2 linked regions of the Elephas maximus indicus genome follow. The protein of the gene in region 1 interacts with the protein of each later gene in a pairwise test. Links are inferred from orthologs where the notes say so. Each region holds a gene or a part of one and is shown on either strand. Other genes may lie near its edges.

Region 1 (7,978 bases):
TTGTTGGGTGCTGTCAAGTTGATTTTTGACTCATAGTGACCCAGTGTGACAGAGCAGAACTGTCCCCGTGGGGTTTTCTACACTATAATCTTTACAGGAGCAGATTGTAGTATTGATAGTGGCGTTAGGAGCCGCAGGGGTACAACAGTTAAGAGCTCAGCTGCTAATCAAAAGGTTGGCAGTTCAAACCCATCTCGCATTTATGCAGGAGAAAGACCTGGCGATCTGCTTCCATAAAGATTACAGCCAAGTGCTATGTTCTCCACAAGAGTGCTTTAAAGAGACATGGTGGTTGAGTGATCGAATAGCAGTTGTCAGCTGCCTGGCCTCCTTATGTCTCTGAAGACATCTCCTCTGGCAGCAGAGAGTTAGAGTAAGCTAGACAGGATATCTGCCAGTAGGTGTGCACACTGGGCAGGAGGATGCTCAAGGAGCAAAAGACTTGAGCGTTGGCCACAGTTGATACGTAGAGGTGGGTCACACATCAAGGATTTCAAGAAAGGGAAAACAAGCTGGAAAGGGTGCAGAAAACATTAAATGGAATCATTGAAAAGATAATAGCTTTCATATAAAGCTAGACTAAGAAATTATAGTTTTTTAATTGGGAAAAATGCAGTTGAAGGTAGAGTAAAATCGTGAGGGAATAGGATGAATATGTTGAATCTCATGTAAAGCTTTAAAAATGGGGCAACTTAATAGAATATAACATTGAATTCACACTCCTTTAACTTCCCCTTTTATCTCTTTATAAAAGTTTTATTTATTCTTTTCCTTCTTTTTTTCCACGCAGGGAATTGAAACCCAATGAAGAAGTTACCTGGAAGTAAAAGCTGTGGCTGAATTACAAAATGTAAATGATATTTTAAATATTATGAGAAAAATAAAAACATGTTTATTATTTGAAGAATTTGGAGTGTGATTCTTTTTATGCTAAAATAATTTTCAAATTTTAAAATCCATTCATTAAAAACACAATTACTGGGTACCTAAATTTTCTTTTTTTTTAATTGTATACGTTGGTGTTAAGTTTACAGTTAGCATTTAATTTTCTCTTTCTCATTTTAAACCATGGTACTGTTAAATCAAATGGTCAATTCCCCCCACCCCACCCCACCCCACAGGTACTTATAGTCCCAGTGACTGGTGTATAGAAACACTATTTGTTGAATGAAAGGAAAACTGGTGTGATTTGCATTTTTGGAAAGATCACTGATAGAACTATGACTCAGGTGTATAGAGACTGGAGTCAGAAGGCCAATTTAGAGATCCTTAGACTAGACTACACAAGGCACTCAGAGGGCTTGAACTGAGCAACAGCAGTGAAAACAAATGGGAGAGACGGGTGAGAACACAGTATTCGAGGACTGATTGAAATAAGGGGTGATGTGGAACAGTTGCAGGGAGGGGGTAAAGAATCAAGAATGATTCCCAGATAGTTGCCTTCATTAATTTATTCAACAGACATCAAACACTAGAGACACAAAGTCAATTAAGACAGGCCTGCCATCAAGATATTTATAGGATATTGACAGATGTATGATTAAACCAAACTTTATGATACTGTATGAAAGGTACTATGTATGATAGATGCATGTACAGAAATTCAGAGGAGGGGCCAACCCACTGCTGTCAAGTTGATTCCGACTTGGAGGTCTAAATTATTCAGAAGTCAAGAAAGTCATCCTGGAAAGTGTGATCATTGAATTTTGAAGGATGGTATGATTTTTCTTTCAAAGTGGAATAGAGTTTAGGACATGCTGAATTTGAAGTGGAGGCATTAATTGAAATAGGGAAAACAATGGATCTAATCCCCAAATTATACGTGGCTTAAGTGCCAAAGCCAAAACTAGAACTTGCATTCTGACTCCCAGGTGTTGACCTTTTTCACTTTATGACATTTATTATTAATCACACATCAATGAAATGATTAGCATTAATTCATATTTAGTGCCTTTTGGCTAAACACTGTTTTAGGTGCTGAGGATTCAACAGTAAGGTCCTCTAGGGGTTTACATCCTCATAAGCAATTAATAGGGGCCCTGGCAGTGCAGTGGTTAAGCACTTGGCTGCTAATTGGAAGGTCAACCTTTCAAACCCACCAGCCACTCCTCAGAAGGATTGGCAGTCTGCTTCCCCAAAGATTACAGCCTTGAAAACCAAATGGGGCAGTTCTGTGTCCTACAGGGTCACTATGAGTTGAATCGACTCTATGGCAATGGTTTTGGTGTTTTGGTTTTAAGCAATTAATCGCATCAATTTTTTTTGAAATAAATAATATAGTTCAAAGATCAAGAATAAAATTGCATACAATGAAAAGCCTCCCACTCTGTCCCCCTTTTGCCTAGTTCTCTTCCCATCTCAACCTCTGGCTTGTGTAATGTGTAATGTATAACCAGTAACTGGTTGCCATCGAGTCAATTCCAACTCATGGTGAGGTGACTCCATGTGTTTCAAAGTAGAACTGTGCTCCATGGGGTTTTCAGCGGCTGGTTTTTCAGAAGCAGATTGCCAAGACTTTCTTTTGGAATTTTTCTAGGTGAACACAAACCTCCAGCCTTTCGGTTAGCAGCCAAGCACGTTAATCATGTACGTACGTGAAAAAATAAATATTTCCTCACATGGATGCACACTTTTTTTAAAACAGAAAAAGTGGCTTGTGAGTTTTTTTTTTTTTTAATGAGAACTGTGATTTGTTTCCCCATTAGGCCACAGTTTAAGAGCAGGGACTGTTTTTCCCAAACAGTACGCTGAACTGTGTGCCCAGAGGTGTTCAATAAATGGTAACTGGATCTTCCTCTTGAACACATGCAGTCTCCATTTCCTTACCTCCTGTTGTCCCCTCTACCCCCTGAACCTGCATCACGAAAGTTACCAATGGTCTGCATAGCAACAAAACCTAGTGGGCTGTTGTAAACTCATGTTAGCTGACTTCTTGGCACTGCTGTCTTCTACAGCCAGAGTGTTCTCTGTAAAATGCAAATCTGAGCATGCCTCTTCTTTGAAAAGCTGTAGCTCCCCAGCTGCCCTTAAAAAGTACACATTCCTTAACTTGGCTTCAAGTTGCAAGATCTGCTATTTGACCCCTTCCGCTTTATCCATCCTCCCCATCTCCTCCACCACATACACATACTTTATGGGACTTTTCAGTTCTTCCAATCAAGGCTTCCTCTTTAGCACCAGAGCACCAACACCAGAACAAGCTGCCTGAATTCGAACCCTCTCATGGCAACTTGCTAGTGACCTTGGACTTGTGCTGTTCTTAACATCTCTGTGCCTCCATCTCCGTCCTTATGTGTAAAATAGCCCAGTCGCCCAGCGTGTAAAATAGAGATGATAGTAATAGCTAAATCCAGGGGTGGATTATCCAAAAGGCAAAGTAAGCATGATGCTTACCTTGCTTACTAGATCATCTGAAAAGAGCTATTTTTTTTCCACCACATCAAAGATTCTACTTCTGCATATGGCTGGCATCTGTCCCTCCCTCCACCCCAGAGCACCTTCCTACAGAATTGAAGCCTCTTTTCAGATTTGTAATCCCTGACGGGGATGGATTACCCAGTAAACAAAGTAAGCATGGGCTTACTTGTGTTTACTTATACTTGTGCTTGCTTACAAATCTATAGTGAGCAATTTCACAAGGATTTCACACAAAGACATGGTGATATGGAGACAAAGATGTGGTGAAACCCATGTGAAATTGTTCACTACAGATTAGTAAGTAAACACAAGTAATCCCGTGCTAACCTTCCTTATTGGGTAATTGGCCCCTGCCTACATCAGAGGTTGCTATGTTAAGAGTCACCGATACATGCAAGGAGCCCTGATGGTACAGTGGTTAAGGACTCGGCTGCTAACCAAAAGGTTGGAGTTCAAATCCACCAATGGCTCCTTGGAAACCCTGTGGGGCAGTTCTACTCTGTCCTACTGTGTTCTACAGTCAATTCCTATGAGTTGGAATTGACTCCACAGCAATAAGTTTGGTTTTTAATGTATGCAAAGCCTAGCCCATAGTAAAAAATTAAACCAGATTCCGACACACAGAAACCCTACAGGACAGAGCAGAACTGCTCCGTTGGGTTGCCAAGGAGCTGCTAGTGGATTTGAACTGCCGACCTTTTGGTTAGCAGCTGAGCTCTTAACCACTGTACCAGCATAGTAAAAACCCGTTGCCGTTGAGCTGATTCCAACTCATGGCAACCCCGAAGGACAGATTAGAACTGCCCATAGAGTTTCCAAGAAGAGCCTGGTGGATTCCAAGGGCAGACCTTTTGGTTAATAGCCCTAGCACTTAATCTAGCCCATAAAAAAAAAACCTGTTGCCATCGGAGCGATTCCGACTCATAGAGACCCTATATGACAGAGCAGAACTGCCCCACAGAGTTTCCAAGGAGCGCCTGGTGGATTTGAACTGCCGACCTTTTGGTTAGCAGCAGTAGCACTTAACCACTAAGCCACCAGGGTTTCCTAACCCATAAAAAAAAAAATGTATATATATATATATAAAAATATCATTTTCACATCATTGCAAGGTATTGGGGGATACAATGATGCCTTTTTCTCAATGAGGCTTGCAGTGGGAGGGGGGAAAAGATAATAAATAATTATCGTAGGTGTGATAAGTAGAAAGTTCAAAGCAAAGTGTAAAGAAAAAAGAACATAGAATCCGAGTGGTCCTTATCTAGACCTGGAAAAGCCTAAGAATCCATAGTAATGGGTGAGAAGAAGAGAAGAGCCTCCAGACCGCAGGGGGCGCTGCGGCAACCCTCAGCCGGCTTGGTATCAGGAACTGGGAGGACACGCTACAAAGGTCACGTGCCCTTGCGATTACCGCCCTGGCGTTCACTGGCTCTTCGCTCCACGTGACTCGCATCCTCGAGGGTGATTGGTCTTCGTAAGGCACGAGGGCAGGGGCGGGACGAGGTGGGGCGGGGCGGGGTAGGCAGAGGGTGGGGCGGAGGGGCGGAGCCGGAGGGGGGTGGTTCGATGCGGGGGCCGTTGGCTCCAGACAAATAAACATGGAGTCCATCTTCCACGAGAAAGTGAGTGTCCGCGTTCGGTGGGGACCTGTCTGCGGCGCGGTGGCGGGCGAGGGGTGCGGTGTCGCCGCCTTGCGAGGGCTGGGTGGGGCTCTGAGTCGCCCCCATCCCGGCCTCTCCGGGTGCGGGCCGCTCGAGCCGCCCGTCTTCTCGGCACTGGGAGGGGAGCTTTACAAACGCCGAGGAGCCGGACCGGGACGCCCGGGGATTCGGGAGGGAGTGAGGGCAAGGCCAGGGGGCGCCTCGGGACACGGAAGGAGGCGGCGGCGGCACCGAGTGGGTCAGCGTCTACCTTTCTCCGGCACTTTGTGTAGCCTTTTCGGGGAAACTCTTCTCCATTCCCTTCTCCCCTGTGCTCCCTGGTTGTAGCCCGAGTCACCTCTCGGAAACTTCCCCCAGCCCTTCCCAACTCCCCCGCTTTTCCCCACGCCCACCCCTGGCAGAATTCACTTCCTTCTCTGGGCGCCTCAGTTCTATATTGGAATCTCCCATACAATTAGATCTTTGGGGTTATGTGCCTGGCTTCCTCCCGCGCTAGGTTCCTGAGCCTCTCCAGGTCAGGAACCTTAGCTCGCCCATTCGTAGGGCCTGACACTTAGGGAAGTAGAGGCGGAAATCCCATGCAGGGAAGTAAGTCGTCACAAGAGTTTTTGTTATGGGATATCTGCGGTTAGTTTCGTTTGCTATTTCCATCTTCCTACATCAGGAGGCCAGCTTTGTTATTAGGTATTAGGGGTGGACTGGAATAATTTTGTTGGTGTGGTCCGCCTAGCCTGTTCTTGCTTTGATTTTTCAATGGCCACGTAATTGAATGATGCTGCTTGTGTTATGTGGAGAAGCTGGTCTTGTCTCGCATACAATTATCAAGGCATTGGGTGTGAGTGAAACCTTCCTTGGGACAACTTTGGCAGATGGCATCTTGTTTCATAATAGTTTCATGTTTGGAAAGGGTGGCTGTGAGGCTGTTATTTATTTAGTAGGCGCGAAGGGTTATCGTATTAAATACTTGTGAATGATCCATGGTGGAAGACATTTTTAAATACACACACACGAGACAGTGAAAAACAAAAGAGGCAAGGTGACTTATAGTATAAATTTAAACAAATTGTTAAAGGGAATGCTTTTTATAGAATACATTTCAGAAAGTTTTGGAGCTCAAGTTGGTTGATTTTTATGTGTGCGGAGAGGAAGGACTCAGTGGTATGGTTATAGCTAATCTTTTGATTTGATTGACGTATTTTATGAATCTTGGACTAGAGAGATTTAGCTGCTTGGCTCAGGAGATTGGGTAAAGATTAGAGAAACTTGCATGTATATATTTTTGTTAATTTTCAAAGCTTTGGTGTAGCACCAGGTGTTTTCAACATGGAAGACTTTAAACATTTTCATATACCATTTCATGCAGTGTATTTTTAACAGTACTGATTGTTACCTACTTTGGATATATATCAGTGAAGGTAACTGCTGGACCATGGGACTAAAGGAACCTGGGCCCCAGCCTATTGAAAACTACTTACCTGAAAGAAGTCACTCTCAACGTGTTTAGGCGTAAAGATTAGGATGCCATCCCCTGCACAGATACTTCAGGCATCTGTTTCCTCTTATTGTCATCTGTTTATAATATGTACTTAGCAAATAAAGGCTCTTAAAGTTCTTCAGGCATGTTTCAAGAATATGGAAAGCACATGTAACCATACGGCTCATCTTTAATCACATATTCTCCCATCTCTCAGAGCACCCCCCCCCCCCCGCCACATATCTTTAATTGTGCTTAGACCTTGTGCTGGGGACATCAGTGGTTTAGTGGTAAGATAGTCTTGTCTTCTGTGCCGGAGATCTGAGTTCAGCTCCTGACTGCAGCACCACACATGCAGCCACTACCTGTCTGCCAGTGGTGGTTTGTGAATAAGCCAGTGAAAACTCTGTGGATCACAATGGTCTGATCCGCAACCAATCACAGGATGGCAGAGGGCTGGGCAGCGTTTTATTCCATTGTGCATGGGGTCACCATGAGTTGGGGGTGCCTTGACAGCCATTAACAACAATAGGCCCTGGGCTTGGAGAGCCAGAGAGCCATCTCTGCCACGATGAAGCTGTGTTGGTAGGGATACCAGCCTGCAGAGGACCTCTCAGCCACTTCCACTTGGAGTGTTGCTTTCCCTGTTTTCAGAGTTTGGGTACCCTTTATTTGAGTACCCTTTATTAAGCTAAACTGTAAGCAGTTGTTCACGTATATATCCTGAGTGCCTAGAATGCAGGAAAAAGATGTGGCAGTCTGCTATTGTACAGATTTACAGACTTGAAAGCTCTATGGGGCAGTTCTGCTCTATTCAACCTTGTAGGGTTGCCATGAGTCGGCATCAACTCAACGGCAGTAGGTGGGTGGGTAGTGCCTAGAATAGTGCCTTGACTCATAGTAGGTGCTCAATAAATGTTTGAATCAGGAGAGTTCCTTGAGCATCTAAGATGTGTATGATGCTTTTTACCTGAAGTAAACTTTTTCCATAAGGGGCCAGATAGTAAATAATTTAGACTTCACGGGCTACATATGGTCTCTGTCACATATTCCTCTTCGGTTTTTTTTTTTTTTTTTTTTTCCCCCAACCATTTAAAAATTTAAAAGCCATTCTTAGCTACTGGGGCAAGTTGAATTTGGTTGCAGGCTGTAATTTGCTGAACCCATAACAAAAGCCCTAAGGGAGCCCTGGCGGAGCAGTGCTCTGTGGCGGTTGGAACCCACCAGCCGCTCTGCAGGTGAAAAGACCTGGTGATCTGCTCCAGTAGAGATTACAGCCTAGGGAAACCCTGTGGTGCAGTTGTATTCTGTCATACAGGGTGCTGAGTCAGAATGGACTTGAGGGCACACAATGTCAATCTAAACATTAATACTAAATGGCAATTAATTGCTGTTTTGTTTTTTTTTTAGTTCCATGGACTGCTTT
Region 2 (7,257 bases), on another chromosome or scaffold:
AACTGTTCCTTTTCCTTACTGGAATTTGACTCCAAAGCTCTGCATCAAAAATAAATGGTTATTAAAAAGAATTTCATCAGTAAGATGAAATTAAAATAGCTCTGCTCTGAAAAACATTTCTTAAAGTCAAAGCCAATAAACTGAAAACCAACAAGTCATTTTAATGTATGTAAATGTTCCATATATCATGGATTAAATGTTTTAATTTCTGGCCCGAGACTAACAGTATTCAGCCAAATTAAGACAAAATGCTGAAGATGCCACTCTCTGTAACAATGAGCTTTATGAAAATAAACTCCTAAAAGTATACTTTCAAGTTCATATACATACGCTTAGAAATAAACTGGAAAAGAGCAAATATAATTAAGAACCTATACAATTATAATATTGGCTCTAAGATAATAGCGTAAGTACCTAAAGAGCTTTACAACTCTCATAGAGCATAAATATTTCATTGGAGCTGTGGAAAGTCACTGCTTAACTTCAATAAACCCACACATAACCAAAACAACAACAAAAAACAACCAACCCCACCGCAGAGTCAATTCCGACTTATAGCGACCCCATAGGGTTTCCGAGGCTGTAAATCTTCACAGAAGCAGACTGCCACATCTTTCTCCCTTTGAGTGACTGGCGGTTTTGAACTGCAGACCTTTCAGTTAGCAGTCAATCGCTTTAACCACTGCGCCACCAGGGCTCATTAGTTACCACAAAAAGAAAAAAGAAACCTTCTTTAGGTTTCAGTAATTGTGGAATTAATTCCGGTAAAGATACTTTGGCACCAACATATATTAGTACAAAGAACCAAAACATATAGACATTTTATGTATAGCTACACAATAGTTTGAAGTAGTAACTAAAGCTGCGTCTGAAAACATAACTTTCATCCTTCAACTTATTAATACACACTAAACAGTAAGGAAATGTTTGGGAAAATTTTGTTTCTATTTATAATACTAATCCAGTCAAATACTCCTGAGAACACTTCAGTTTCTCACACATTAACTGATATTTCCCACACCTATATTAAGAATATATCGCACCCACACTTCCACATATAATGAAATGTCTTGCAATCAAATCATCTTGTGTCACAATTCCAAAAGAAGTTGGGAAATCTGTCTCTTAAACAATTAAAGACATAGAAAACTTCATAAAATTAGAGGGTAAAACATAACACTGTATCTAAGAGGTATCCACTGGGTAATAATTCCATTTACTGACCACCAGTTAAATGCAATTTTGTCCTCACATCTCTCTAAAAGGCAAGTAATTTTCCCCATTGTACAGCAGGCCAAACTAAGAGAGTTACAGACCCACAGACGGAATTCAAGTCTATCTAATAAACACCACGACTCCTGATCTCCAACAAAAATATAATCAATTTTTTAAAAAATATATAGATGGGCAGAAAACTGCTTAACTGTGTATAGCGTAACAACTCCAGAACCTAAGCAGTAAATTTACACACGTGACACTTTTAGCTTTTTGGCATAAAACTGTACTGACTTCAACTTAGTTGCTCTTTTTGCAATCGCAAATACAGAAAATGGCTTGAGAATTTATCATGCGGATTTTTGAAATGTTTAACTGCAGAACAGATTTAAAAGATTTTTTAAATATGGATATCTCCCTTGAAATGCTACTATGGGGGGGGGCGGTGAGGTGGCGTGAACAGGGTTCCAATACAACTCCTCCAATTCCAAGACTTCTAACAGAGGACCCATGAAATCTCGAGTTGGGACCGAGCCAGAATCTAAAGAGCTCTAATCTTCACCACCAAAGAGACCTTAACGTGCAATCTGCATGTGCATGTGTGTTGGGTGGCTGGATTCGTGATACATGCAAATAAAAGGTTTAATAACTCTGGAGGGAAAAGAAGCAAAGAATTCGTTTTCACCACTACTCACCTCCGAAAACTGCGGCAGGCGAAACCTGATACTTTTTTTTTTTTAAGGCTCGCTATCTCGGGTTACCACCTCCTAGACCTTAGAACCTAACCAGGTCTACTCAGGTCCAGACGCCTCATCTCCCTCCCCCACCTGTAAACCTACGCCAGAAAGCCCGGCTCGCTCCAGGGGCCGCCGCGACCTCCCCTCCCCCTCCGGCCCCACTACCACGAGCTCCCAGGCCGAGGCCTCCGGCGCCCCGCGGGCGTGCTCCCGCCATCTGCCACCAGGCCCTCGGCGTCCAGCCACTGCTTCCCATCCTCCCTCCACAAAGCCGGTGGCCAACTCCGAAGGGTCCGGCACGACGCACGCGTCCGAGGCCGGAACCCTGGGCCCTATCGCGCCCGCAGCCCACAGGCCGCACCTCGCGCCCGCACTCACGGCGCCCTCGTGGGTGAGCTGAAGGCTCTCCCCGCCCGGGCGCGTCGCAGGGCTCCTCTCGGGGCTGAGACCCGGTTCCGCGCGCAGCGGCCGCCGTGCCGCCCCCACCGAGGCCCGGCGGGCCCCTCACGCTCCCCGAGGCCCGCGCGCGGCCGCCCCCGCTCCACCCGACCCCAGGCCCTGTGTTCCCCGCCGCTCGTACCGTCTCCTCGGGGTCGATGTCGATCTTAAAGGTTTGCTGCTGGAGGGTCTTCAGGGTGACCTGCATGGTGCCACCGCGCAGCTCCACTGCCGGGCCTGCTCCGGGTGCTGGCCGCTGGGCGGGGTCTGTGGCCTGGCCGGGCCCTGGGGTCGCCGGCGTTCCTCGCACACTCAAGAGGAAAGCGGTGGGGGTGGGGGCTTGTCACATTCGCCCTGCGGAGCGGCCTCTCCCCCAGCCCTGGCCCCAGGCCGAGCCGCTGCCTCCGCGACCGCGGCCTTCCACGCGAGCTCCGGCCGCGTCCGGCGTCAGCCACTGAGTCTGCAAGAGGTGCGAGGGGCTCTGAGCGACAAGCAGGGAATCCGCTAGCTCACCACACGACGGTCGCCGCCATCATCGTGACTCGCCGAGACGCACCCCCCTCCCCCACCCGAAAAGCTGGGGATGGGGACGGGCTGGCGAAGCGCGCAGGCGTAGGGTGCGGCGAGACTATGCGCATGCGTGGTAAAGAACTCCGCCCCAGAATTGGGGGCGGGGCGTATTGCTGCTCTGGAATGTCGGCGGCCGGGATCCGGCGTACGCAGGCGCACACCGAGGACGTCGCTTGGGCTCTCAGGGCTTCCCTGTGGTGTCTGCAGCCCGGGTGTTCTCCCAGCCCGCCGCCGCCCCGCCTACGCCCGGAGCCCCCCCGACCGCCGGAGTTGCGCAATTAGTAGCCGGGGAATCGCTACGTGGAGAGCGGACCAAGTGGGTGCTGAGCTCCGGAGCTGGAGAACTAGAGGGCAGTAGATCGGGGCGGAGTTTAAGTGAAAGGGTCCAGGTAACCACCGAGATGGGCCCCTGCTACGCGCCTGAGGCTATGTGATGTTGACTGATTCTTTAATCCTGAGAGCACAGGCTACGTACGATGCTAGACTGCCCGGGCTCACATTTTGTCTTCTCTTCTTACTAACCTTCTGAACTTGGGCCGAACTAGAAGGACCTAACGGAGGTTAAGTTACGTCACTCCTTTGCGCAGAAATCTCCGGTGATTCCCCGTGTCACCCAACGTAAACTCAAGGTTCTTACAAGTGGCTACTAGACCCTTAGTTTGCATCGCATCTCCTGTCTCTTCCGCTTGTTGTTGATGGATGCTGAGCTCCCGCCGAAGGGCCTTTCTTTGCACTCTCTTTTCCCACACCCTGATGGCTCTTCCCCCAGATATCTGGATGCCTCGCTCTCTCTTCTCCTTCACATCTTTGCTCGAATGTCACCTCAGTGAGGTGTGTCCCGGCTACGTTATTTAAAATCGCAACCTCTCTAGCTCCGTTATCCTGCTCTATTTTTTTTTCTTTCAGGAATATTTATCACCTATACATATGAAAACCCTGGTGGCGTAGTGTTTAAGTGCTATGGCTGCTAACCAAAAGGTTGGCAGTTCAAATCCACCAGGCGCTATACGAGCCTTGGTGACCCAGTGGTAAAGAGCTCGGCTGTTAACCAAAAGGTCTGCGGTTCGAACCCACCAGCCGCTCCTTGGAAACCCCTGTGGGGCAGGTCTGCTCTGTCCTCTAGGGTCACTGAGCCGGAATTGACTTGTCAGCAACGGGTTTGTTTTTTAAACTACATACAGTGTATATGGTATTATGTTTATGATCTTTCTCACTTTGCCCCTTTAAACCCCAGACTGAAACTGCACCAAGGCAGAGATTTTGTTTTGTTCACCGATGTATTCCTGGCATCTGAGAAACATACTTGGCACATAGCAGGCAGGACACAGTAACTATCTGTGGTGTGGGTGAGTGTGACTCAGGTTCCTCATCAGGAAGATGGGGGTAATAAGAGTATTCAACTCATTGATTATTAGAGGGAGTGGTGAGTAATACAGCATATGTAAAATCTTAATGCCAGGAACATAATATAATAAGTACTCCATCCCTGGATAGGTATTATTGGTATACCTAATTACCAGTGAGGAAACTGAAGGACAGAGATGTTACGTAAAGTGCAAGTCACCCAACTAGTAAGTGGCAGATCCCATAATTTAAACTCAAGCAGAATGACTCCAGAGCCGGTGGTTTTAGGTGCCCGGCTATTCTGCCTTGTTTTAGGGTTCCTTGTTGCATTTAGGAAACCCTGGTGGCGTAGTGGTTAAGTGCTATGGCTGCTAACCAAAGGGCTGGCAGTTCAGATTCACCAGGTGCTCCTTGAAAACTCTATGGGGCAGTTCTGCTCTGTTCTACCGGGTCACTATGAGTTGGAATTGACTTGACAGCAGCAGGCGTTTTTGTTTTTTGTGGCATTTAACTTACAGTGAGTGGCTCAAGTATAAAGCAGTCGAACCCCTTTGTGACCAGTTGCAAATTACCTCTCTGGACCAGCATCCTCACTGATACAATGTCACCCCTTGGTTTTCCATGGATTCTAGAAGCTGGCATATAATTCTTACATGAATTCCAACCTCCCTCATTTTTAACCTGGTATTTCCCCTTTCACAGCACTTATCTCACTGCATTGTAATTAAAATATCTAATTCTCTGCTCTCTAGCCTCATGACAGCTACTCTTGGTCAACAGGTGATTTCATTCTGTCTTATTGTTTTGAAATACCTCCAGCCTGAACCTCTCCCCTTAGCTACGGATAGAGTTAGCCAATTGTCTGCTCAATGTCTTCACTTGAAATATAACAAGCCTCTGAAACTTAACGTGGCCAAACAGAACCACTGATTTCCTTCTGCAGCCCCCATCCCTAACCTGCTTCTCTCTCAAGTTTTCCCTATCTTAGTTAATTGCATGACTCTACCATCTACCCAGGTGCCCAGGCCAGAACTCTAGTTGTCATCCCTGATAAGTCTCTTTCTTCCCTTCCTACCCCACAGTCACCACATCCAATCCATTATCAAGTTCTGTCAATTTTATTCTCCAAATGAAATTTCAAATTCAGCCATTTTCCACCATTTCTACTTCTACAATCCTAGGCTATGCCACTATTTTCCTTCACTTGCCTCCCAACTGGTCTGTTCACGTCTACTCTTTTCTCCCAGCAGCTTCCCCAGCAGCCAGAGTGGTCTTGTTGAACCATAAATCTGATCATGTTACATCTATACTTAGTACCTATTTACACTTGAGAATAAAATGCTAAAATTCTTTAACTAGCCTTGGAGACTACACATCATCTGACTGCCAAATTAGCTGGCTTCATCTTTTTCCTTCCGTCTCCCCATCAATCACTGACATCCTCTGCACTGCCCTTCTCGCATCCCTCAAACGGGGTAAACTAGTTGTAGCCTTAGGGCTTTTGCACTTGAGGTTCCTTAAGTTTGAAACACTGTCTTGGTAAACCTCTGAATGGCTAACTCCTTTTCATCATTCAGGTTCCAAATCAAATTTTACTTCTTTAGAGGAGATTTCTCCAAGACTGTAGTAATATATGATTAACATATATAAGGGAGTCCTGATGGCACAGTGGTTAAGTGCTTGGCTGCTAACTGACCAGCTGCTCCATGGGTGAAAGATGTGACAATGACAGTCTGCTTCCATAAAGATTTATAGCTTTGGAAACCGTATGCATCAGTCTTGCCCTGTCCTATAGGGTCGCTATGAGTCGGAATCAACTTGACAGCAATGGATTTGGTTTTTTTGGTAACATGTATAAGCCCTTACTTTATGCAAGACCCTGTTCTAGCTACTTCAATTGGATAATCTCATTTAGTCCCCCACAAAACTCTATGAGGTAGGTACAACATTACCCTGGTTTGAATTTTTCATGACTCTTCCTGAAATTACTATTTTTTCAAATTTGTCTATTGTCTGCCTCATAATCACTGCTCTCCTTCCCTTTGTGTCTGCTTCCTAGGGAAAGGAACTCACTGTCTTATTCACGGCTGTATCCCCAGCACATAGAATAGGCTCTAGAACACAGCAGGTGCTCTGTAAGCATGTACTGACGGACTCCCAACTAATCTCCATGAGGCTAGGTGTTGTGTCAGTCTTGTTCATCATGCTCTTTTCAGAGTTTAGCAGAATGTGGGTGTTGAATATTTGGTGGTAGAAAAAAAGAGTGGTCACTTTATAATTTATAATAGGTGTAAGAAAATAGATGAAAACATTTTAAAACTGGAATATGCTGTATAATGTTATTATAATATTAAATCCTTCCGCGCTAAAACTACTGTTGCCTGTCTACAGAAAAAAGTGGGGGGGGGGTAGGGTGAAGAGAAGATGCTTCTCCATATATTTGAATGTGTTTTTGAAAAAAGCAGTCTTTTGCTCCTGGAAAAATAGTAATTAAACAGTATAGAAAGGGGTCAATTGAAAATAAAGGTCTCCCCCATCCTCCCCTCAGAAATAACCATTGTTTTGAGTGTTTTTAGAAATTTTCTAAGGGTATACAATAATACATGGCCTCCAATAGTTGTGACAAGAGTAGATTTTAAATGTCAATGAATTAAAAAATTCACTCAGTAAAATTTTCTTTAAAATACAGTCTTAAGATAGAAAGGTTTTTTTGTTGTTGTTTTTTTGATTTGTGAATTTCTAGCAAAACTGCATACCAGCCACACCCACTCTTGGCCCAGTGGCACAAATTGGACAGACTTTGTCTCCTTGTGGGATGTAGTTGCCTAAACCCAGATCCCAGAGTCCCACAATTCACATGTTAGGGCTCCCCAACCCCCACCTAAAAGCCACTGAGGTGAGGGTGCTGGTGAGCAAGGCCCTGCAGGATAGGCCCTGGGCCTCTCTCCTAGAG

Evidence for each region.
Region 2: the proteins of ATXN3 (region 1) and RAD23B interact in a two-hybrid assay, tested with the Homo sapiens proteins (2 studies listed by BioGRID and IntAct). The link is inferred for Elephas maximus indicus from reciprocal best matches to the Homo sapiens genes ATXN3 and RAD23B.

Annotation. Positions count from the first base shown.
Region 1 is NC_064828.1:105,675,637-105,683,614, reverse strand, and holds the start of ATXN3 (ataxin-3), read left to right. Parts: upstream 1-4,962; 5' UTR 4,963-5,015; coding exon 5,016-5,039; intron 5,040-7,978. Other genes in the region: NDUFB1 (NADH dehydrogenase [ubiquinone] 1 beta subcomplex subunit 1), read left to right, coding at 791-827. UniProt on the Homo sapiens protein: Deubiquitinating enzyme involved in protein homeostasis maintenance, transcription, cytoskeleton regulation, myogenesis and degradation of misfolded chaperone substrates.
Region 2 is NC_064827.1:56,779,843-56,787,099, reverse strand, and holds the start of RAD23B (UV excision repair protein RAD23 homolog B), read right to left. Parts: upstream 3,014-7,257; 5' UTR 2,599-3,013; coding exon 2,533-2,598; intron 1-2,532. UniProt on the Homo sapiens protein: Multiubiquitin chain receptor involved in modulation of proteasomal degradation. Binds to polyubiquitin chains.